Linked DNA regions of Drosophila melanogaster. The protein of the gene in region 1 interacts with the protein of each later gene in a pairwise test. Each region holds a gene or a part of one and is shown on either strand. Other genes may lie near its edges.

Region 1 (6,253 bases):
CGGCGAGGATGCTATGCCCGGGCATAAGGAGCACGTAGCTGTGTCTAAACTTGAGTCGAGAGATTGCCATCTTAGTTTTTAATTTGCTTCCTGGGACATTTCCTCGCTTTTGCTCGCATTTCCTTCGGTCTCGACTTAATCACACAAAGGCAATTTCACGCCTTTTTGCGCTTTGTCTCGGCCTGACAACGGGGCAATCACTTTGTCACTTGGCAGTTTGATGTATCGACAGGCGCTAAACCAAACAACCAACCCACCTAAAGTTCCATCCCCTGGCTCAGTGACAAGACAAAATCATCTAGTTAGCAATAGAGCGAGATCAGCAGGGGTAGATAAGCCTTTGGGTTTAGTGGAAATTTTGTGCTCGATTTGTATATCGGAGATTTTCATTAGTTTGCGCTGAAAATATTTACTGCAATGAACTGAGAATGTGTTCGGGATTTTCACTTGACTTCAATTGTGCACACGTGTCACATATGTGAGAGTCCAATTGAAATGGGGGTAATTTCTGGTGAGATGTGACAATAAGTAATATATTGAGGAAATTGGTCCGATGTAAGATAAGATAACTGATCAGATATAGTTTAACTTACTCAGACTCCAGCATTTAATAGGCTTGGGTAACCCAATTAATTCTTATATATTTTAAAATGATTTTCCATAAGCTTTAAGCATCAACTGCACCAAACATTTGAATATCCCATTTTATTTATCAATTTAAAATCACATCAGCCCATGGGTTGAGCTTGCATTGTTCGATCGGCAATTAATTAAATACAAGCTAAACAATATTTTTAATGAAATGGCCATGTTGGAAGGCAATCATGTGTTTAATATTAATTTCGTCGACAGCCAACATGGCGACCATGCGAATTATAGGCTCCAGCACACAGATACTCAAATGCACCCATACACACACACACGCACACTCGCACACTCGGCTGTTGGCTATAAATATTAATTAAAAATGCAACTCATATGGCAAGTGGAACAATTAGCACCTGAAAATATGCAAACATTAAATTGCCGCTGCTGCAGCCACATGGCTGCAAGCAAAAAGTGCAACAAAAGAGTCGAAAATTTAAATAAAATATACATACACCCCATAGCTGCAAACCCTGTTCACGACTGACCATAACAGACACATATTTTGTCCTGGCAATGGCCACATCCTTGCATCCGGTCTGCCAGGATCTAGGGTCTAGCCGGAAAAAAGGGAAATAAACGGGGGATCAGAACGAGACGGAAAACGAACGGAAGGCATTGCACAATTTGCTATTGTTGCATGTGCATATTTACTGGGCACTTGCCACTTTTTCCACATAGCGCTAACTTAACTGACAAATAAATATTTCGGTATGTTGAAAGATTTCGACGCTCAACAGTCGCCTACAAAACGGGGGAACCCCAATTCCAGAGCGTGTGTGTGTGTGTGTGTGTGTGTAGTTGGCAATATGTAAAAGCTACGCGCAGCATATACTCAAAATCCAAGCCAGCAGCAACAAACGCAACAAATACACCAGCACAAAACATGGCCACATATTCACACAATCTCGCTGGAACTGCTAAAAAATCGACAAAAACAACCTGTTCGGAAACACTTGCAACAAGGACATCACCACCGACAGAGACGGGCATAGAGCCAGACAGAGAGGGCAGGTCCTGCCATATTTTCGGGGTGGGTGTGAGAGGCAAATCGAGAGAGAGAGCAAGCGAGAGAGCGGCCAGGATCAAGCACCGCCTCCTTGCGAAAAGAGATGAGTGCACAGTGGGCGGAACAGGGAAAATAATTTAGTAAAATATAATGTTTTGGTAAAAATCTAAATGGAAACCATGCGAAAAAGTTTTATTTATTGTAAAATATTTGAAAACATTTACCTAATGAAGTTTAAGCGCAACTACTTCAAGATATTCAACTCTTTTGAATGAATAAGAGTAACTTCTCATATAGATGACCCTAGTTTCAAATCCTTCTAAGTTTAATCAATTAAGTTTTTTAAATAATATCACACAACTTTAACAACAACATTGCCCATTGTACCAATGCATCACATACAGCACAACAAGGTTTTCGAACAAGCCAACCTGTCCGTGAATGCTAGCCAACCAGGAGTCGTCCTGGCTAGGACTCGCACAATAAAACCACAGAATATGTTCGCCAACTGGCAAAGCAGATGGAACGCTGGAGAGACGGAGAGTGGGCCAAAGAAAGAGAGAGAAGACCGCTGGAGAAAGAGAGGACAAGCGGGAGTGAAAGAGCAAGAGCAGGAACATAAGGGTGGTGCTCTCTGCAGGACCTGAATCTGAACAGACTCCGAGCAGAATCAGGACAGATGGGCCAAGTGCCGCGAGTGCGGAGAGTTGCTTTTTCCCAATTGAATGGGACAATATGAGAATACGAGAATTCCAACTGGACGCGGTGGTTGTGGCAGCGGGTACTTAAAGAGGAACAGATTGCGGGCGGCCAGCAGTCGAAACTGGAATTTCGAATCGCAAGGAACTGTATAGAACCAAAGACCCAAAGTCCCTACCAGAGCCAAGTGAAAGTCGAAAAGTGTATTGAAGTGAAAATGAATCTGCTCATGGATAGCATGCCGTCGCACGCGAATCCTGGCCAGCGTCGCCCAACGCCGCCTCAGCACGCCGAGCTTAGGATCTCCACATCACCGCAACAGTCACCGCAGCAAAATCAAACCACTAATCACAATAACAACAATGAGACACCCACATCGCCACCGGGTGGAAAGACCACTCTTAAACGCGCCTTCGATGTGGCCTTCCTCATGATGCCCGATGAACGGATTAAGCAAAAGCAGGCCGAGAAGCAGGCTCGCCTTCAAGAGGCACTGCACCATCATCACCACCAACAGCAGCAGCAGCAGATGAGCCACTATCCCACAGATTTGTCTCCTCGAGGAACCTCCTCGCAACCACCTTCGCCGGCGGCACTGGAGTACATTAGTCTGTTGGAGGCACGCCAGCGGTATCCACAGATCAGCATCCGTTCGCCGCGGGTTTATGATGATCCCAGTGTGGTCATACCCCTGGTGGATTCTCCAGAGGCACCATCAACTTCTTCACCACCACCGCCCATGCGCAGCGCTTTTACCAAAGTAGCCTCCTCGTCGCTGTCCACTTCATCATCCTCACCATCGACCACTTCACGTTTGGAATCACCCGTGGATGCGGGAGCTCCGCCCTTGAGTCCCGATCAGCTAAGCTGTCACTCGATAAGTCCACCATTGGTGACACCTCCACCAAGAACCAATAGCGGTGGCCAGAATCCAAATCCCCTGCCAGCAAATCCCATAGTCTACCACAACTTCCGACCGGAGTATCAGTTCAACGGAGCCTTCCAGGCGGTGAATCCCATGCAGGCTCTGCAGGCACAGCAGCGCCTTAAGCAGCAGTTGTTGTACACCCGTCCACCAGGACCTGGAAATCCCAATGGAGGAGGACCTACTATGCAGGCAAACTCACCACCGGGTCCACCGTCGGAGTTCCTGCATGCCTATCCCGGATTTGCTCCGCCACCACATCCATTCGCGGTATCCCAACCTCTCCAGAATCCCGCTGCAGCAGCCATTCTCTCCACGTTGATTCCACCCACATTGGCATCCACTTTTACACTGACCGCTCAGAATGTGTGCGCCAAGTGCAACATAAGTTTCCGGATGACCAGTGATCTGGTGTATCACATGCGATCCCATCACAAAAGCGAAGTGGCCTGCGATCCAAATCGACGGAAGCGGGAGGAGAAACTCCGATGTCCCGTCTGCCAGGAGACTTTCAGGGAGCGACACCATCTAACGCGACACATGACCGCCCACCAGGACAAGGCCAGTGATCACCAGCCGCAGCTGGAGGACTCATCCTCATCTGCCGGTGACAACGAGATCATCAACGTGGTCGGCGGCACACCGCCAGGTCGCCGAATGGGTGGTATGCCCAAATGATCGAAGCATTTCTTCGGATATTTTTAAGTCATCAAGTCAACTAACTCCCCAAAAACAAAACCCGTTGCCCATTTTCGATTGTGATATTAACTTTAGTTTCCCCCACGCTCCGATTTAATTTCCCCTTAGCTTTAAATGTAGTGCAATTTGTATCTTAAATATGTAACTGGATCTCCCTGTATCTCAATTAATTATCTTTCTTATCGAAGGACCCGAAAGGATCTTCAGTTTCATCATTGTAAGATATTATGGCTAAGTTGCAAATTCAATGTGTGGCTGAATGTTTCAATAAAAATCTAATTGTTATGCCAATTCAATAGTAATCACGTTTTATTAATAAAATTTGGGTTAATGGGAAATTTTATCTTGTAGTAGATCTGAAGTATTCTAAAATCATGTTATGAAAATGAGCTTGAGGATTATTGCAATCAAATATTTTTGAAAAGCTTAAACAAAAGCCAATGAGTTGTCTATGCTTTCGAAATAATGTGATTAAGCTTATATAGACGCCACCTTAATAAGAAATCCCAAAAGACAACCGAGCTTAAAATTCAATTAATTTTTGAAAAAAAGAATCCCAAACCAGGGATTCTAGAAGACGAAGATATCTTGATTTGGCAGCATATGGAGTTCTTTGAATTCCTGGCCGGACAACCCATTATTTCGATTGTGAGGTAGACCGAAAACATAGGCTCCCAGGACCAGAAAAAGCACCAGATTTTCGCGGGTACCAAAAGTAACATACGCCATGTTAGTAGAGCGAAGAATATGTTCAACTTATTAGCGCAGTGAGGCAGTGAATTCTGTAGTTGCGATTCAGCAGTATTCATTTTGGCCGCATGCAGCAATTAGATGCGGCCACAAAAACTGCGACGCCGACGCTAATGAGCTGGGAACCGAAATTGTAACAAGATGAAAGGATACTTCGGGGTTGTCCTGCGCCCAAAAAAGGCAGTCATTCGTTTAGACGGCGCGACGAATACGACGAGCTTCCAGGATAACCCATCATCGCGGAGTACTAGTGCAGTTTTTGGCAAAAATGTATTTCGAATTTCAATATTTCCACACTTGCCAACCCTCCGGAATTCAGTTCCCATGAGCCTCGAATTTGTAGCGTAGCAAATTCCTACAAAGCGCAACGAATTCCTTGGGTGGTGGCTGCTCCCCCAGCGATTTCCTTGGCTCGTTGCTGCACTCAAATGAGCCACATCGAATTGCGTTGATTTAGCGTGGCCAAATCCTGTTAGCCCCGTGCCACAGAAGCCAAGCAGCCAGCCAGGATTCTCACAGGACGTCTTCCTGCCTTATCGACTGATGTATCAATTGATGGCATCGCTAAACGGCAAACGCTCTGCTCCGATCCGCTCTGCTCATTGTTCCCATGATGGGATTAGCATTTTATGGCTTTGTGTTCGCTGCTTGCCACTTGATAAAGACATTTTCCAAGCTCCTTTCACATGGCTGGAGTGGGGGGTGGAAAACAATTGCTGGGAAAGTTAATGTAAGCAAATTGGTGTGGAGCATTAAGGTGAAGAGATAAAAGGACTTGGGGTACAAGGTGGTAAGCCTGTAAGGAGCAACACCTAAAATAAAAGCTTATTATCAATAATATTGGAGTAATAACGTGTGCAAATCTATCAACATTTCTAATCTAAGTTCCTAATAATAATGGTAATAATTTTCATGATGCCGCAAGTATTGTCTTGATTTTAACAGACATCTCACTAGCTCAGTTCTTTTTGCCAAAATCCTGGCTGAGGCAAAAAATTTGAAGACAATTCAAGTTTTATTTTACCGCCCATTCCGAGATATCCCGTTTATAGTCACTCGTCTTGATTTATTTCGTGCATTTCCCCAATGAGCAATTCAGGCTTCCTTTAAAAAACAATTACAACTTCCGACGCCCTCGAAAACAAACAAGCGCCACCCATATGAACTTCCATTGCCGTAAAGCGAACACATCGTCAAAATCACATTTCCCCATTTCATTTACCCAAGGAAGCCACCGCATCCAGAATGGCAAGACAGACAGTTCCATGGCAGCCACTCACTCAAAACGACGCCGAGGGCGACCACAGATTCGCCAACACGAAGGCAACTCCATAATAAGCCTCATCATCATCCTGGCTGGGTGCTACATAATAGCAGCCATAATCACATTTCATATTTATCACATTTTTACGCCCACAATGGCAGATCCGGGGGGATCCCATTGCGCAGCGACCTGCGCCGCTTTGTTTGCCTTGCCTAACCTCGCAATTTGACCGTAAATAAATTGCCTGCTCATTTCGGTTACC
Region 2 (6,010 bases), on another chromosome or scaffold:
CGGTATGCGTTGATCCTCGACTGCGAGTGGCGCAGGGAGTCCGTCATCTGGGAGGTCACACACTCATCGCAGCCGCACCTAGAAACAATTGAGATTAAGCGATGATATACAAAGTGTACGGAACCCAAGAGTTCTATAATAATAAATACATTTAAATCAATCTGAAAGGAGTACAAAGGACCTTCTCTCCTAGCAAGGACATTTATGACGCTGTTAAAGGCTTGAGTCCATTGACCCAATTTAAGAACATTCAAGGACCTGCTCTTCCCACACACAACATTACACCCTGTATTAATATTTCACCCTAATTTGCCCGCAATTATCTAAAATTAGAGGCACCCAGCGATGTGCTACATAAGTGTGTTGCCAATTGGACAAACAATGGAACGTGCCGCTCGAAGGACGAGGAAGCTCACTACATAGCCATATCACCGAGCAACTGCATCCCTACACCACCCCACTCACTTGACGTCGTGCGGCATGGGCAGCGTGGCCCCGCGATCCAGGAGGATTTTGAGTATCTCGTAGTTATTTCGGTGGGCGGCCAGGATAAGGGGCGTGATGTCCACGGTGAAGGTGGACTTGGAGCGGTCCACCGCCTCCCAGCTCTGCCAAAGGAGGGGAAAAGAGTAAGAGTTGTGGCATATTCTGCGGCAGGATGTGACCTACGTATGGCTGGCCCTCCTTGTGGTTGGTCTCCTCCCACTGCAGCAGCTCCTCCACCGCCTCCACATACTCCTCCGAGATGGCGTGCAACAGGGCGTCGCCCACCTCGATGTTATGCTCCAGCAGGATCACCATCAGGTCGAAGTTCTCGTTCTCGATGGCCGAAATGAGGGCGGAGCGGTTCATGGGATCCGTGCAGTTAATGTTGAACTTGTCCGTGCCCTGGTACTCCTCGAGGATCCTTCAAGGACGAAATCATATTAGCCGAGTTACTCGAAGCCATAGGGAGGAAGCCTCACTTCTTGACACCTGGCAAGTCACCCCGCTCGCAGGACAATATGAAATTCTTCTCCACATCGCTGAGGATGTACTCCTCGGCCATCATCAGGTCGTAATCCAGGCGAGACCCCAACGCCTTCTCGGCATCGGATTCCGTATTGCTGCCCATATCTGCACTGATTTACTGGTCTATGCGAACGCGATTATCAGGATCGGATCACTCGGTCACTTCACATCTCACAAACACTATGGGCATTTATCCCTGCTCCTCGGGGAGCCTTGGCGTAATCCTTTCGCGCACTGTATCCTTTAGTGTTCCATCGTGGCGATGTTCCGCCTCCAATTAGCCGCGTTGCACTGCTGAAAAGTGGCAGCCACGGGTCGCTATATTCCACTAATTACATTAGTGCCCAATGTGGCTAAAACTCGGTCAATGTGTGGGCGAACCCCGAGTCAATGGGCCCATTTGACCGCACTTCGGTAATTGTGGGGCTGCATTTGGAGGCAGCAACCGATTTTAGCGATTTCAGTTCAGGAATCTTTCGTCCATTTGTGGTTGCATTGCACGTGATGAGCGACTTTCGATTTTCGAAGCCCCAGCAACGGAATCGCACCACTTTTATGCCTGAAAATCCAAATCAATACTGCCCAGTGGGTTTATATGTAAGTGAAAAACAAAACGTGCTAAATGGAACAATATTATCTGCTTATATTTCGATGAAATGATGCATACAGTTGAGATATGAAATTAAATAGGTGTCTAATATTTTGTACCCAGCAATATAGATCAATGCCCAAAAAAAAAATACGCACTTTGCATACTTTTTGACACCTATTCAAGCCGAAATTCAAAGCTACTTAATATTCAAAAAGTAGCATGAGGGTGTTAATTTGCGAGTAAATAGGGATTCATGGACTTGGGTTCATATCCTAGAACTATTCACCGAGAAAAGCCCTTAAAAATAGGAGAAAATGCAAGCTTTTAAGCTTTTGGCTAACCAACAGAGCCGGAAAACACACCACACCTGCAGTTTACAGTCGAGTATCTACCGAATTGAAATGATTTCGAATGCCTTTTGGGCACTGGGTCAGTGATTCTGACTTTGTGATTGATGAATATTGATTAATCTGCATGGGAAGTGGGAGGGGGAGGTGGGGTGGTGTACATCTAAGACCCAACTCGTCCTTGGCAGCCGAGCGTCTTGAGCCTTGAATGTTGAATGTTGCTTACTTCAGGGCGCTCGCAGGGCTTTTGTGTGTCAATGCACTTGGAACTAAATGCCAGCTCCTGGCTAAAGGCGGAGAAAAGGAAAAGGAACAAGCCCACTTTCACGGAGCAGCCCTTTGAGATGAATGTGTGTGTTCGAAAGGTGGGGTTCAATGGAGCTCCGGGCGGAATGGCATCGTACGTGTTCAAGTCGTACGGGGTTTTTAGCGGGGCCAATGCACTCCACACTCCACTCGCATGGCTTCCAAGAGAAGAGGAAGGAAGTGATGGTGGCCCAAGGAATTTCAAAATTAAAGTCACAGCTGTCGAGGGGAACTCATTAAGTGCGAATTAATTAGAGGCCATAGCTGAAAATACCTGGATGGCATTCTCGTAATTATATAAAGGTACTCCTCATTACACAAATGTGGCTAAATGCACATTCTTCTTATAAGTTCCCATTAACTAAATGCTATGTTGGGTTTATACATGATTTTCTGCAGTGTACAACTGGGTTGCACTCAATGATTCATTGGCCTCCAACAAAACTCCTGCCTTATTTAGCTTTTAAGGACCCTTGTGAGTTATGTGCTCAGTTCTCCACGAGAAAAGCGAAAGAGCTCATTTTCCCTGGGTTTGCGTAGCAGGTTGCACTTTCACTGTCTCCCCACCGGAAACCGTCAAGATTGCGGGATAAAATTCATTTTATGGCCATCTGTATTAAAATTATATCTCTAAGCCCTCAACATGATCGTAAAAATCTATAGTATCAATGCTGATTTGCTTTATGGCACCGATAAGATACTTATGTGTTTAAACAAATTGAATGTACCCACGTAGAAAATGATTTTATGAATTGCATCCGATGAGTAGTATTTAACATTAAATTTATTGTATTTTTAACTGATTCGCAAATCATTGAACACTGATAAGTTTACGTTTTTTATATTGCTGTACAAGCCTCTGCGTTGTTTATTTTTTGTCTTTTTGCTCCTATGTAATCTGGATGACATTAATTTACTGCCCTCCAGCTCAACATATGGGTAGTTTGACACTTGGTCAAGATAAGACAAGGGACTTCTTCTGTATATAAAGGCGCTTCGACATCGGAACACCATTGAGTTGCAAGACTTGACCAAGATGAAACTGTTCGTATTCCTGGCCTTGGCCGTGGCCGCAGCTACTGCTGTGCCCGCTCCCGCCCAGAAGCTGACCCCGACGCCCATCAAGGACATTCAGGGTCGCATCACCAACGGCTACCCAGCCTACGAGGGCAAGGTGCCTTACATCGTGGGTCTGCTCTTCAGCGGCAACGGAAACTGGTGGTGCGGTGGCTCGATCATCGGCAACACCTGGGTCCTGACCGCCGCTCACTGCACCAACGGAGCCAGTGGAGTGACCATCAACTACGGAGCCAGCATCCGCACCCAGCCCCAGTACACCCACTGGGTGGGCAGTGGCGACATCATCCAGCACCACCACTACAACAGCGGCAACCTGCACAACGACATCTCCCTGATCCGTACCCCGCACGTCGACTTCTGGAGCCTGGTCAACAAGGTTGAGCTGCCCAGCTACAACGACCGCTACCAGGACTACGCCGGATGGTGGGCCGTGGCCTCCGGATGGGGCGGCACCTACGATGGCAGCCCACTGCCCGACTGGCTCCAGTCCGTCGATGTCCAGATCATTTCCCAAAGTGATTGCAGCCGCACCTGGTCTCTCCACGACAACATGATCTGCATCAACACTGACGGAGGCAAGTCCACCTGCGGAGGCGACTCTGGTGGCCCCCTGGTTACACACGACGGCAACCGCCTGGTCGGAGTGACTTCCTTCGGATCCGCCGCTGGCTGCCAGTCTGGTGCTCCCGCCGTCTTCAGCCGCGTCACCGGATACCTGGACTGGATCCGCGACAACACCGGCATCTCCTACTAAGCAGTTGATGTTCCTTAATTCTGAGGGGTTTCTTCAATAAACGATTATAGCAAGCAACTCAAGTTCTGTTTTTGGGATGGGATTCAGATGTCTTCTTGCTTAAGTAATGAAATCAATAAAATATTTCCAAGTGAAGGGAAATATATTAAACTGCAAACGGAAATAAACTTATTCCGATTTCCGATTTATGTATCGGAAAAAATCAAGCTTTAGGAACACATAATGACGAACCATCGGACTATATGCAAATATATATATATGGATCATACGTCTTATTATTATGTATTATTATTATGTATTGTTTATAATTATTATGTATATTATGTATATAAAAAGCAAACTGGATTGAAAATGGTGTATGTAGAATATTGGACTTGTTATATTTGCAACATAATTAAAGTGCATAAACATAATATAAATTTATGTTATTATAAATAGCTGCAAGTGGACTTTCCTAGCTTAAACAGTTTTAAATATAGGAATACCCTATAGTCGCTACTAGCGTTCAACAGCTATCATATGGATAGAATATAAAAATAGGATATAAAAATAAGTTAAACAATCTCGTTTTAAAAACATTTAAGGAAAATATGAGATTACTTTTAGTTTTATAATATATGTACATTTAATGTACATAATAGAATATATAAATATTTAGCTCTCAATAATGTGCCCCTCAATCTACAACTGAATAAATAGTTTGGTCGAATTTTTCATTTTTGCTATAATCGTTTATTGAACATCAACTGCTTAGTAGGAGATGCCGGTGTTGTCGCGGATCCAGTCCAGGTATCCGGTGACGCGGCTGAAGACGGCGGGAGCACCAGACTGGCAGCCAGCGGCGGATCCGAAGGAGGTCACTCCGACCAGGCGGTTGCCGTCGTGTGTAACCAGGGGGCCACCAGAGTCGCCTCCGCAGGTGGACTTGCCTCCGTCAGTGTTGATGCAGATCATGTTGTCGTGGAGAGACCAGGTGCGGCTGCAATCACTTTGGGAAATGATCTGGACATCGACGGACTGGAGCCAGTCGGGCAGTGGGCTGCCATCGTAGGTGCCGCCCCATCCGGAGGCCACGGCCCACCATCCGGCGTAGTCCTGGTAGCGGTCGTTGTAGCTGGGCAGCTCAACCTTGTTGACCAGGCTCCAGAAGTCGACGTGCGGGGTACGGATCAGGGAGATGTCGTTGTGCAGGTTGCCGCTGTTGTAGTGGTGGTGCTGGATGATGTCGCCACTGCCCACCCAGTGGGTGTACTGGGGCTGGGTGCGGATGCTGGCTCCGTAGTTGATGGTCACTCCACTGGCTCCGTTGGTGCAGTGGGCGGCGGTCAGGACCCAGGTGTTGCCGATGATCGAGCCACCGCACCACCAGTTTCCGTTGCCGCTGAAGAGCAGACCCACGATGTAGGGCACCTTGCCCTCGTAGGCTGGGTAGCCGTTGGTGATGCGACCCTGAATGTCCTTGATGGGCGTCGGGGTCAGCTTCTGGGCGGGAGCGGGCACAGCAGTAGCTGCGGCCACGGCCAAGGCCAGGAATACGAACAGTTTCATCTTGGTCAAGTCTTGCAACTCAATGGTGTTCCGATGTCGAAGCGCCTTTATATACAGAAGTGGTCCGTAGTCTTATCTCGACCAAGAGCCCTTCCTTCCACACGTATGTAAAATGGGAGGGCAGTAAATTTTAATCAAGTTATCATCGCGAGCCATCGTCGACTGATAAGTCCACTACAGGTGATTTTTTTTTTTTGTAAATTATGGCCTAAATTTGAAGTGGAATGACATGTGCCTTATTTGCAACTTACTCTTCAGTATGATAGTATCATGTAAGGACATTCACTTCACCTAAAATATATTATATACTCAGATTACCCAAATGAGGAGTAAAGTATTTTATGATCTTTAAGAAATTTAAATTCTGAATAA
Region 3 (5,777 bases), on another chromosome or scaffold:
ACTTTGCGCTGGCCGATATTCGCCGGCAGCTTCATCCTCTGCGAGCGCAGAGAAACCCCGGAACCGCGCAGGTCGGCGAACTTGATGCCGCTGCTACCGATCTCTATGGCATTAACCACCGAGTCCACCCTGGAGGGTCGCGGCTGCTGATGTACCTTCTTTTTGTGCAGCTTCTTCTCGTACTTTCGCGTACTCGGCGTATTCGATGCGTGCTCATTCTGCTGATCCGCTTGCGAAATAAGCTTCTGCAAGTCTTGTGTCTTGCGCTCGCGTTCCTTTTTGCGCGCCTCGATTTTCTTCATCTCGTTGATAAGCATATTCTCCTCCTCCACCTGTTGTGTCGTGCGTTTGAACAGCTTCTCCAGCTGCTCCTTGCGGCGCCGTTCGTGCTCGACGTCATACACAAATACTTTCTTCTCACTCGTCTGATTCTTGGCCTTGGCGAGCAGAGCGACCACCTCATAGTAGCGTTCTTTGAGCTCCTCCACAGTTTTGGTTCCATGCTGCTGACGGTTCCAACGATCTGCCATCACAATGAAGCGAAGATCGAACCTGCAAATCAAATGGCTTACAATTTTGGCTACTTAATAAGAAGTCTAATGAAGAGTCTACCTTCTGGCCAGGTCGAATAGGTGATCGGTCTGCACCTTGCTCCAGTTGTTGATGTTGTTCCTTAAGTGGGCATTGTACTCCGTCATCGTGTACGAGGGCACCTCCAGTTGCTTGTTGAACTTGGCGAACGGATAGTCGGTGGAATTGTCGGTGACTCGTTTCCAGTGGTGAAAAACCGCCGAATCGTTACGTGCCGGATTCGAAAAGGGCGCCCACTCCCACTTGCGCACCTTCTTCATGCCCAGGCGGGCCTTCGTCTCTTTGTATCCCGCTCCGATTCCCAGAGCGGTATCCGTGGGCAGGAGAGGCGGAGCATCTTTCTTGTCTGTGTAGAGCAGGGCAAACACCTCCCTATGCATGCCCTCCGGACGCCGGGACGCAGTCTTGGTCCTAAAATGATTAAATTGTAAATTAGAGAATCGCACACATGTAAATGCATTTGTTTACCGCTCAAAGTTGCGCTTCTTGGTGGCCAGAAACGAATCCCGCGTCACCTCGGGCGTGTTGGCACGCTCCATGTCCAGAATATCACGCACATCGGCCGACATGATTTAAAACTTTTGCTACTCTAATGTCTGCTAAAAATTGAGTTGCTTATTGTTTATTTTGATAGTTTTTTGCAAAACGAACAAAATTTCTTATAATGCTATTAGTATGACCGTAAACTATAAGATGGTAAATACGTTTATTTCACCATAAAATATACAGTTAGTATATGCTAGGGCTAAGTAATAAATTCACTAAATTCCGAACATGAAATTTTCAAACAGTATTTGAAAATATTTTTTATTTATTACAAATAATTAATTTATTAATTAATTATTATAATGTGCTTCAAATTAGCATCTATGGAGGAACGGTGGAACATATGGTATTGCAGTATACATTGTGATGTTATTGAGTTAGTATATCTAAGCGTATACGCGGTCACACTGAGAATTCAACGTGCTCAAATCAAAAAACTAAACAGCGCGGATTCGGATTCTCCGAAACTATGTTGTTTTTCTGCCCGTCGTGCGGAAATATATTGATTATCGAGGAGGACACCAACTGCCATCGCTTCACGTGCAACACCTGCCCGTACATATCGAAGATCAGGCGCAAGATCTCCACGAAAACCTTTCCACGCCTCAAGGTATGATCATTTTCCACTGGATGATGCAATTTGCTACGAATTTATGATAATATCTCTGATAATCTGTGTTTCCAGGAGGTGGATCACGTGCTGGGCGGCAAGGCGGCGTGGGAGAACGTAGACTCCACGGACGCAGAGTGTCCAACGTGCGGCCATAAGCGGGCGTACTTTATGCAAATCCAGACGCGGTCGGCGGATGAGCCCATGACCACGTTTTACAAGTGCTGCAACCACGAGTGCAACCACACCTGGCGAGACTAATGCGCCGCCTTCAAACGAGCCTTTATCGACTGCTCCGTGCTCACCACACATCCAGCAGAATGCAGCACCAAGCGAGCGAGCTGAGGACTCCAGTGTGCGCGGTGGGCGACGAGGCTGCTCTCCAGTTGGCCCGCCAGTGCCTGCTTGGTGGCCAAGTGATTGCCCTGCCCACCGATACCGTGTATGGCCTGGCCTGCGATGCCAACAACGAGACAGCCATACAGCAGCTCTACGAGATTAAGGGTCGCGATGAACACAAGCCCGTGGCCATCTGCGTTCACAACATCGATGCGTTGCGACGCTTTGGTCAGGCTGCCCATCTCAGCGACGAGCTGCTAACTCGTTTGCTCCCGGGCCCCCTGACCATCGTGATCGAGCGGACGTCCCAGCTGAGCAACCGTTTCCTTAATCCCAGCACCTCCAAAATCGGCATACGCATTCCGGACTTCAACTTCATGCGCGACCTGTGCGCCGTGTGGCAGGAGAAGCCCCTGGCCCTGACCAGCGCCAATCGCTCCAGTGCGCCCAGCAGTCTGCAGGTGTCCGAGTTCCGTTCCCTATGGCCCCAATTGGGCGCCGTCTTCGATGCCGGTCGAATCGGTCTGACCGAGGAGCGACGACTGGCCTCCACGGTCATTGACCTGGCCACTCCTGGCTACTATGAAATAGTGCGCGCCGGCGTGGCTCTCAAGCCGACACTCAGCCTCATGGAGGAGTTCGGCATTCGGGAGCTAAAAATGATGTAGTATAAGAGCTATTCCTTTGGCTTTAACTTTAATTTTTACTTTGGAACATCCTACTTTGCTTTGCATGCGGGAACACAACAAATTGTTTATAAAATATACGGTTCAGTATGTACACAATTGGAACTATCTTGGGCGCAGGCTCTCCGCCAGTTGGTCAGTCTAGTTGTAGTAGTTGCTGGAGTTCTTGGAGGCCTGTATGGGTCTCCGTCGCCGCGGCAGTTCGTTCTCCAGTATTCGCCAGCGTTCCGGTGGCCACACGATGGCCACTGCCCGCGCGGACATCAGGCCCAGGGCGACGGGTCCAAAGGTATTGCTGTCCATGGAGTGGCCTGTGTGATCGCCCTCCACCCAACAATGTCCTTCGGGTACGCGAACGATCTCGTGCTTGTAGCCCAGCGTGGACACGACGTCGCCCTGCAGCCCCACCACGCGCTTGATAATCTTCTGGGCGGGATCCTTGGGTGAAATGAGCGATATTATGTCGCCGCGCTCCACCTGACTGTTGTGGGTGCCCCAGCGCAGCAGGAACACATAGTCCTTTTCATCCGGCACGGGATTGAGAGCGGGCTGCATGGAGATGCCTGCAAAAAGTTGTGGATTAATTAGCGCACACTAACATGGAGCGAATAAACTCCGGACGACTCACCATCCACCCTGGCCACATAACCAACGCAGTCCAGGAAAGTGACGCCAAGTGGCAGAGCGTACAGCAAGGACTTGCCAAAGAACCGAAATGCCATGGATGAACTGGTTGGAGAGCGGAGCTATCGAGATGAATACATAACCACCAGCCTTTTGCCGAGTTCCTTGTGCGCTCCGGATCTTATGACATTCGCAGCGCAGCGCCGACACGGGTTTTGTTTATGCTAAATACAGGGTGCTTCAATAAAGGCGATGCAGAGGTTCTTGAGCAGATTACGTTTATTGAGGAAGGATATTTGCCAGCTATTGTACTTTAGTTACAGGTGTTTTTTTCCGTTTTGGGTTTATTGTAATTTTGACAGAAACAGGAATGTGACTGGGCAATCGTTCAGCAGCCCTCCAGCTCGCTGGGAATGGGTATCTCGTTCTGGATGGCGAACTGCAGCAGCGCCTTGTACTTGTTCTTCCAGTTGGACACCTCGCGGCGCACCTGCTCGTTGTCCTCGTGCATCTGCTCCAGTTCCGTCCACTCGTACGACTTCTTAGTCTCCAGCTCGTCCTTCTGTTCGATTCTCTTGATGCGGCAACTGGCTGCGTATCCGCGATTCTTTAAGGTTCTCCGGCGCTGCTTCATCCGAACGATCTCCTCGCGGTTCAGGCCACGCATCTTGAGGGTCCGATTAAGATCCCTTACCGAAATGCTCACCAAATCGTCATCGGTAATATCCGGAATTGGACATGGCGAAAGTGGTGCCTGAAAATCGCACTTCTATCAGGGTTTTCTTTCTTCTTCGCATATATCTACAAGGTACGTACCAGGGATGACTTTCTCTCGCGCTTTGCTTCCATTGTGGCCGATTGTATTTTATTTTTACGGAGACTTTTAGAATTTGCTAGATTTTTCTACCTTTTTTTTTTGCGTTGTTATTGTGTGTCTTCTTCTTCCTCTCTACCTGCTGGTTGCCATTCACAGGAAATGGATTGCATAGAGTTGGCAGATAGACAAAAAACGTCTGTGGTAAATAGCGGGTAATTTAAATATACTAAAGCTAACGTGATCCCTAGATTTTAGGCTTTGTAGCATAAGGTACTTAGTTATATTTTTAAATTATTTATATAAAGCAGATCCAGATTTTTGTTATAAATACAAGTTCGAAAATAACAAATTTATATTTTAATTATTATCAATTTTAATTAACTGTTAAGTTCCGTGCCTTCCAGGTGGCATCGCTGGCAAAGTTTAAGAAGCTGCCTAACACTAACAGCTTTACAGAAGTTTTTTCCCCGAACGACGCCAACTGTTAGCGGGAAATATTCCTTCATCCTGCAGATGCCAAGTCCTTATTGTTCGCCATGAACTCGCAGGTGATGTACCACAATGTGCCCACACCGCCGGGCAACGTATCTTTGGCGGCCGCTGCTCCCGACGGCGGTTTGCTGTACGCCGGCATTCGCTGCATCAACTACATATCCGCGCCGCCGGCAAACGGAGAGCAGCCCCAAGTGGTGACCATGTCGACGCGGATCAACATACTGGCCCTGGACGTTAGTCCCATGTGGGGCTTGGGCAACGGTGGGCCGACCAAGCCATTCGCCATTGTGGGCGACGATCTAAGCGTTCAGGTGTGGGACTGCGCATTGGGCGAAGCCGTCATCGGGCACAAGGCCCATCAGCACCAGCACGAGGCGCGGGATGTGCGCGTCGTGCACCACACTACCAACTCCGTGCTGATGAGCTACCTGGCCAATGGTAACATTCTATCCATGGACGCCAGTGATCTGGTCATCTATTGTGTGGCATCCAACACCTACTGCCGTCGCTCCACTTTCATCTCGCCCCGAAATCACCAACTCACTATGGTGCGCTGCTCGCCCTACAATGACAATTTGTTCGCTGTGGGAACGGCTATGGGTAATGTGCTGGTCTGCGATCTGCGCAAAATGAACATCGTCTACAAGTTCCACGGCCACAAAGCGCCCATATGCGGCTTAGCCTGGCGGGAGGTGCCTGCTGCCGAGGACGAAAAAACCAATAATCTGGCGTTAAGTGCTGAAGAGTGGCGAAGCCGCAATGGCGGCCAGGAGGAGAAACCCAAGACAAAGCCACCACCACTGACCAAATCGAAGGCAGCCGAATCCGACGACCCTTTCGACATATACAACTTTGATCATCTTGAGTACGAGTTCGGTGCACCTATAGCTGAACGCCGCCGCAAATCTTCAGAGGATTGTGGCGGCGAATTTGTGGGTCTAGAGAAGCCAGCTGGTGCCGCTGTCTTAGATTTCGTTGAGGCCTGCGAGAGTGTGAAAGCCGAACTCTTAGCCAGTCGCCAGGAGGATAAAACGCAGCACGTGGAGGTCACGCTGCATGACTGCGAGCC
Region 4 (7,127 bases), on another chromosome or scaffold:
ATGGAACTACTAAAACTCTGACCATTAACATCCACTAATGAGTAACGTGGATATTTCCATTTCTCATATTACAATGAAATGAATATAGAAATGCCACTAAAGCTGCTTTTAAGATTATAGATATAGATTATAACAAAAATAGATAAAGATCGGGAATAAACGGAGTAATAACTAGGAACACTACTCATTACCTCTAGTGGTAGTACCACATTATCCTAGAAACTACTTCTTTAATAGCCATGGAGAGGCATCATCCTTTTACGAGTGATCCACAGCCACTGTGCTGAATGCACATGGTGCCTGCCACAGACCAGTTCCACTTGCGTCGCTCCCAAATCCAACTACAATAATATATATGTACATGGGAAGCCACACCACAGAGCGGCACATTACAGCACACCGCACCCCGGAGCCACAATGGGCCGCAGTGTGAGCCGGACCCAGAGCCGCGAGACCCGGGCAAAAGCATTATGGGAAAAAATGTAGCCGAAAACGAAAGGAAGAGCCACTGCGCCCAGAAAGCCAAGTCGCTCGGCTCTGTCGCGGTCGACGCAGCAGTCGGCCGGCCGACTCAGCGATCTCACGTTTTGTCTGCGGCTTCCACATGGAGAGGCCCAAGTGCACAGCCCGCGATCTCCGGTTCGTACGCTAACAACAGTTAGAAAACGTGGCTTGGAACCTGTCTAAAAATAGCCACAGCGAATGCAGTCCAGCACACGAGCGGCCGACATGCCGACAAGCCGACAAGCCGAATGAAAACGAAACCTTAAACGCCAGAAGACGTCGCCGCCGCAAAGACGAGTCTGCGGATCCCGAAGATTTGGATTTGGGTTCGGGTGCCGAGCGCCAAGACTCTCACTCTCTGTGCAGTCGACGCTGGCAGCGCGGTCGACGCCGCGTCTTCGGGTTTACCGTTCTCTAGTCGTGTGTCGCCGATCTTGGGAGAGAAGATTTGTACTGGCTTTGCGTTATTATTGTTTTCCTCGTTGTTGTTTACGAGCTGCAAACGCCGGTGTCAATGGTAAAGTGCATTAATATTCCCGCTTTTCCGACGGCTCGCGGGGCGGGAAAATCGCTCGGATCGTGTTATTGCCAGTTATATCGGCCAAATGATTTGTGGCGCAGCTTATTTATATTTGGGGATGAGGAAAGAGTGATCTGGTTTATGAAGTGGCAGGATGGTATTTTGTTAAGTGGAAAAGCGAAATTGGCCTGGGATCTTGTGTGAAATCGATTTGTCTTAGCACTTGGAGTGAAATAGGGAATAAAAGCGGGTAACTGAGATAAATATAAAATCGTGATTTAAGTTGAAAGGAAAACCAGACTCATTTCTAGGCTAAAAGTCCGTTTTGCATATCAATTTCAATTTGAAATATTTATAGCATAATTATAAATTATATTATATAGCATAAATATAAACCAAATTCAAAAGTAGTAAATCACTATAAATAGAATATTGAATTCTTGCCATATGATACTTGTTATTCTTTTCGAAATTTCTATCTTCCTATTTAACATGATAGCTTTACTTTTCCACCCACGCTCACCATCATGGGATTGACTCACATAAACATATTCCTCGAAATCTGGTCCATTTTCCTTTGCTTTGAATACACCCACACACACGAGAGCAAGGAAGTCCTTTCCACCAAAACGACACCACAGAATGCCCACACAGACTTAGTACACTGAGAAGAATATGTAGTTTAAGACAAACAATAAAAAAACAAACAACATTAAAAACATGCTTTTTATAAATGCATTAGAGTACAGTCTACACATGGAAAAGAGATTGATATTTAAAGACAAGTGTGTAGATGATGTACAATGTGCATAAGGGAATATTCCTACAAATTGTACGTCCTTATATATCCTGAAATTAATAAACATGTTTCCTGTGTACGATAACTGAGAGAAACGGAAGTTTTGGCAGCAGGCGAGAAGTGGATACCCAGTGGGCGGTTGGAAAAGCGGAAAAGTGGGTGGCGGAGTGGTAAGCCGGAGCAGGTGAAACGGCACCAAGAGCCCCAATCAATCTCAGATGCGAGCAAAAGGGATGGCCAACGTCGGTTTTATGACGCACATAATTTCCGCTTCCGAACTGTCCCACTGGACTGCATTCGGAAAATCGGTCGCTGAAAATGGGTGGAGGGGATTTTCCGGCGCAGGCGCTCTGCCAACGACGTCATCGATTTTCCTCGCACGAGCTGCGCTCAGTTGTTGGCCCCAAATGACGTAATAGCCGGGCCGCAAAGGTAGGTCGTGTCCCGCTCGCTTGCCGTCGCCCCTCCCTCTCCATCGCACACTCACTCTCGCTCTCACTCGCTCTCGCGAGCGCAGCACGGCGCCAGCTGAGGCAGCGCTGTCGACGCGACGCGTTGAATATAGTCGCGTGTAACCGTAAAGATAAGTTCAGTCGCGTCACAGACGCCGCATTGTTAACAACTTTAGCCCAAACAGCCACCGCTCACGGAAAAGCCAATACAAAATATAGAACTTATATCGAGGCGAGCTCGATGGTTCTGAATTTCCGATCTTAAGTCAGCCAACTAAGACTTTAATCCACACAACTATATAAACATCGCGTTCAGTATTAACGAAACACAAAGCCAACATAGGTGTGAGTGCTCAAGAGTTAAACAATTGCAACAAGTTGTTGTTCTTTATCGATTCGTGCATTCGTTCTATGCGGAAACGGAAGCCGGTCGACAGCGCGGCGTATGCGTAATAACTTCCAACGGTTGACAACGCGGCGTATACTTCACCTTTACCTTTCTTAAGCGAACAATGCATATATTTCGGTGGGCAACGCTGCGTATGTTTGTTTAATCTATCTTACCCCGCTGCGAATGTGCAGTAAATTAATCTATAGTAATTCAAATTTCGTTTCATTTCTGAGAGACAAGACACAGATATTTTTGAACTGAAAGTTTTGCTAACATTTTAACGAGCACGTGAGCTGAAGAACAGTAGTAATTGTTTTTGTGTTGCCCATTGCGCGCGTGTGTGTATCAGTGTGTAAAGTGTAAGCAACGTCCTTGTGCCTCCCACTACTGCAACTACCACAACCGAATATATATGTATATGTATATAGAGACCCCAGTTGATATAGTATAGCGTGCGTAAGTCGTTACGTCGCTTACATCGTCACTTGGCCACTGCGCAAACGCCGGAAAAAAGGAAAGGCAACAAGAAAAAAGCCAAAAAAAAAAGGAGGCAAGTTCAAGTCTAAGGACACACAACAAAAACAACAGCCGGGCAAGGACAGAAAAATGAAGCCCGATAATAACTACTGCAATCAGAGCTACTGCGACAAAAGCTTCGGCCACTCCTGCCGCAGCCAAGAAAATTGAGGCAAAATCCCAGCCCAACTCGGAACAGTCGTGCTGGATCACCAGCGCCGCTCGGGGCGCCAAACAGGTGCCTATTTAGAAACCATATAGTGTGTGATCTGTGTTGTCCCGTCCTGTGTGCGTTTTATGTTTGTGTCCCATCATCACCATCAACATCATTGTTAATTTTGGGTTCTTTAACGGAGAATCGTGGTCTATGATGCGCGATCGGCTTGCCTCGCTGATTGTGGTGAAGCAAGAGGGCGGCAGCAACACGAGCATTAGCCACCACCAGGCAACGGCCATTAAGTGCGAGGCCTCACTGTACACCGAGAGCAGTTTGTTCCAGGAGATCAACAACAACTCCTGCTACAGACAGAACCTCAATGCCCCGACACACCAGCAGTCACACACATCACACCTGCAACACGCACAGCAGCACCAAACACACCAGCAACATCCCCTCTTGCCGCCGCCTCTGCCGACTCTGCCTTTGATTTACCCCTGCCGCAACCTCTTTCCCGACGGTTGCGATATCAATCACCTGGCCTGCTGCAGTTCCTCCAACTCCAACTCCAACTGCAACTCAGACTCGAACTCCACCTCCAGCTCACCCGGCAACAGCCACTTTTTTGCCAATGGAAACACATGTATGTATTTGGTTTTCCCTTTCGGCTTATCGGTGTTGGTGACTTTTTCGTTTTTTGTTTTTTTGTATTTTCCAAACTCAAACGCCGCTGTGGTGTTTTCTTCTAATTCGCTAATAGCACACGCGGCGTATACGCAATGTGCAGCGCGCATTGCCAAATCGGCCAAGAAGCTAACTGTTTGCTCAATCCGTTTGAGAAGGCAGGTCGGGAAAAAATCTGAAAAATGCAACTTGAATAAAAAAGGGGGCGTGGCTGGTGGGGGTAGGTTGGACAACGCACAATGACGACATAAATTTGCATGAAAACTGCTCAAAATGCATCATAAAAATGGTGAAAATATTAAGCTTCCATTCGCAAAATACGAGAGCAACCACAGTAGAGGTCAAGAAAATGAGGCAGAGAACTTTAAAAATTCTTGGATTATGATTCAAAAATGATTTAACAATTAAAAAGTTTAAGCATTTGGAGTACTATTAAAGGCAGCTCTAAAAATGTTCGGTATAGTTTTTTTTTAAGCACATCAGAATTAGTTTCAAGCTATCATTTGCATTAAAAATTGTATGCTATGAAATTTAGTGCATTAATAAAATTAATTGTATAGTTACATCAGAATTAGTTTCAAGCTATCATTTGCATTAAAAATTGTATGCTATGAAATTTAGTGCATTTGCATAAAATTAATTGAGGCAACTATACCGAACTGTAAAGACGGGCTTAAATCAATTACCACCACTTTGACCTTAGTTGTGTGTGCAGACCCGTCTTGGCTCTCGGTGAGCATGTGCTGCTGTTTTTGGTGTCGTACACATGTTTACCAGCGTCAGCAAAGCGCCGCAGTTTCAGCAGACGGCAGCGGACGCAGCCTGACGCAAAATGATTTACAAGCTGCACAATAAACACCGCACACAGATGCAGTGCGTCCGATTTCCACACAGATACTCACTATCGACGGCTAGGGATGGCCAATGCATTTTTATTAATAACCGCATAAAAAAAACATCGCCGATTGAAGCTCAAGCATGGGAAAGATAGATCGATCATTTCATTGCCGAGTGGGTGGTTGGTTCGGTGGGTGGTGTTAGGGCGCCCGGCGGTGGGGCATCCGATTATTGGGCTTACTAAACGGCTTGAAAGGCTTTGCCAATTCATTCGCTGCGGCAAAGTCGGTTAGCCACTTGTTAGCCGCTTCTTAAGCGACTGTATTTTGCGGCTAACTTAGCGCCCATTAAGTGTTTCCCAGCAATCAGCTTTTAAGCACTCTGCGGTTAGCGTTTTCAACTGCAAGTGGGCCATGTGAGCCTTCAATTCACAGGAATCTACTATATGCACATTCTAAATTGATTTAATTGTCAATATTACAGAATGATTATCATGCGCTACATATGGATAGGTATCCTTTCGATAGTCTTCGGATAGGTTTTTTGAAACAACTACCCAAGTAGAAAATTAGTTTCTATGGTGAAATGCAGTTAAACACTAAACCGAGGGTTGCCAATCGATTGCAGAAGTGAAAATGCAGGGCGAAATGCACTAGACTCAGTTGACTATTAGACGTGGCAAAACAAACATCTATATTTATAAGTTGGCTATATAGTACCATAATGGCGATGGGCGCCAAAAGTGCCCGACATCGGATGACAAACCAGAGCAAAACAAATCGCCGAAGAACATATGACCAGGTGAGGTGCATCCACTAGTTGTGGTATATAGTATTTAAGCCATGACGCCAGCGGGGCCATGAAATCGGCCAGTTTAACGGATTAGGCGGCACACAGTTTTCACATTACGGGTGTTTTCCCGAGGCACGAGTGCTGAAAACGTCATCGTCGCGCCGAAAACGAAAATATATGACGAAACCGTGAAAAGATTGCACTCTCTTTGCGTCAGCTGCATCCCTAAATGTGTATCTATTTATATATATATATATATATCTCATAATTGGTTCGATTTTATTTTCATTATATTTATGGCTGGCCACGTGCTGATGACGTCTTATTTCGGGGATGAGTTGGCTGTATGCCTGCAGTATTATCACAAGTCAGCGTATTTCTTATTCCTACGACTAGTCACATTTCGATTTTGTTTTTAGTTGTGTTTTTGTTCGATGCTCACGGCGGGGCGTGTGAAAACACTGTTGCTTTTACTCTTTTCTTTCCGATTTGCCTTGATTGCTCATACGCCCCGTTCAACATGGCAACATCTCTTGGGCGTAGCCAATTGCATTTCAACATGGCCCAAAGCGACCCGGCAAAAGGTCCGCCCGAGCCGCACATATATAGACGTTCGATGCACTTGGCCAGGGATCGAGATGATCGCGGCTTCCCTTACTGATTAACCCCAGCGAAACGAGCTTGATAAATGATGCAAAACACAAAATACCTAACTACTCACATATCTATGACACCCGAAAAAATTTAGATACAAAATATATCGTAGCCCCTTCATTGTGTAGTTATTCACGATCCGTCGTGCGTTGTGAGTTATCTCCGCGGCAGCTGTCGGGATGGCCATTGTTGATTGTTGCCTCTTTTGGCCATTCCTCATACTCGTAGAGACACTCCACACCGCTGCGAAAATGTAAACCATCCCCGCTCACACCACCCTGCACACCGGTTTCCCCGGAGCAGCTTCATCTGCCAAGACCAGTAGTCACCTTCCAAGTTTCGTTTTCTTTGGCCAAACACATGAGCAAACATACACAGACGGTGGCACAGGTGGATCGAAAGGCGTTAGTCGGATAGCCCACTAACATGGTTAGGATCTGAACATTTTTCCATGTCCACGAGCTCTTTGTTCTTCGGTTGGGCTGAGCTAATGCCCGATTCGATGGGCATTTAGTTCCGCTAATAGTGGACTTAGAACAAGAAAATAAAAGTAGTTTACAAAAGCAATACCAAATAGTAAAATGATGTGATATCCATTAGATACTTAACCCAAAGCCCGCTTAACAAATCGAAATCACCTGTCCAACTCCATTAAACAGTCATCAATTCGGCTTGAAATACTTCTGCCTGTCATAATCGCAATCTTAAAATGTAAATCCATCTGCAACCTATGTATCTCAACTATCTCTGAATCAGCTCGTCTCGCACTTTTGCTATTCATTTTCGCACTGTGCGAATGAGTAAAAACCACAAAAGTGAAT

Evidence for each region.
Region 2: the proteins of CG13287 (region 1) and Jon99Ciii interact in a two-hybrid assay, tested with the Drosophila melanogaster proteins (one large-scale study listed by BioGRID).
Region 3: the proteins of CG13287 (region 1) and Polr3K interact in a two-hybrid assay, tested with the Drosophila melanogaster proteins (one large-scale study listed by BioGRID).
Region 4: the proteins of CG13287 (region 1) and Hr38 interact in a two-hybrid assay, tested with the Drosophila melanogaster proteins (one large-scale study listed by BioGRID).

What each region holds. Positions count from the first base shown.
Region 1 is NT_037436.4:5,879,837-5,886,089, forward strand, and holds CG13287 (uncharacterized protein), read left to right. Parts: upstream 1-2,467; 5' UTR 2,468-2,570; coding exon 2,571-3,956; coding exon of another isoform or gene 3,957-3,983; 3' UTR 3,984-4,254; downstream 4,255-6,253.
Region 2 is NT_033777.3:29,918,950-29,924,959, forward strand, and holds Jon99Ciii (jonah 99Ciii), read left to right. Parts: upstream 1-3,266; 5' UTR 3,267-3,292; coding exon 3,293-4,090; 3' UTR 4,091-4,506; downstream 4,507-6,010. Other genes in the region: trp (transient receptor potential), read right to left, coding at 1-78, 466-608, 670-907, 966-1,114; Jon99Cii (jonah 99Cii), read right to left, coding at 4,841-5,638. UniProt on the Drosophila melanogaster protein: Major function may be to aid in digestion.
Region 3 is NT_033778.4:20,639,554-20,645,330, reverse strand, and holds Polr3K (RNA polymerase III subunit K), read left to right. Parts: upstream 1-1,545; 5' UTR 1,546-1,606; coding exon 1,607-1,747; intron 1,748-1,822; coding exon 1,823-2,008; coding exon of another isoform or gene 2,009-2,754; 3' UTR 2,755-2,865; downstream 2,866-5,777. Other genes in the region: DMAP1 (DNA methyltransferase 1 associated protein 1), read right to left, coding at 1-552, 613-1,002, 1,060-1,160; Tcs1 (Threonyl-carbamoyl synthesis 1), read left to right, coding at 2,008-2,754; CG11110 (uncharacterized protein), read right to left, coding at 2,914-3,335, 3,401-3,494; maf-S, read right to left, coding at 3,785-4,165, 4,213-4,245; rig (rigor mortis), read left to right, coding at 4,750-5,777.
Region 4 is NT_033779.5:20,709,892-20,717,018, reverse strand, and holds the start of Hr38 (hormone receptor-like in 38), read left to right. Parts: upstream 1-2,430; 5' UTR 2,431-3,549; coding exon 3,550-3,982; intron 3,983-4,718; exon of another isoform or gene 4,719-5,817; intron 5,818-6,012; exon of another isoform or gene 6,013-6,923; intron 6,924-7,127. UniProt on the Drosophila melanogaster protein: Binds to NGFI-B response elements. Plays an important role in late stages of epidermal metamorphosis.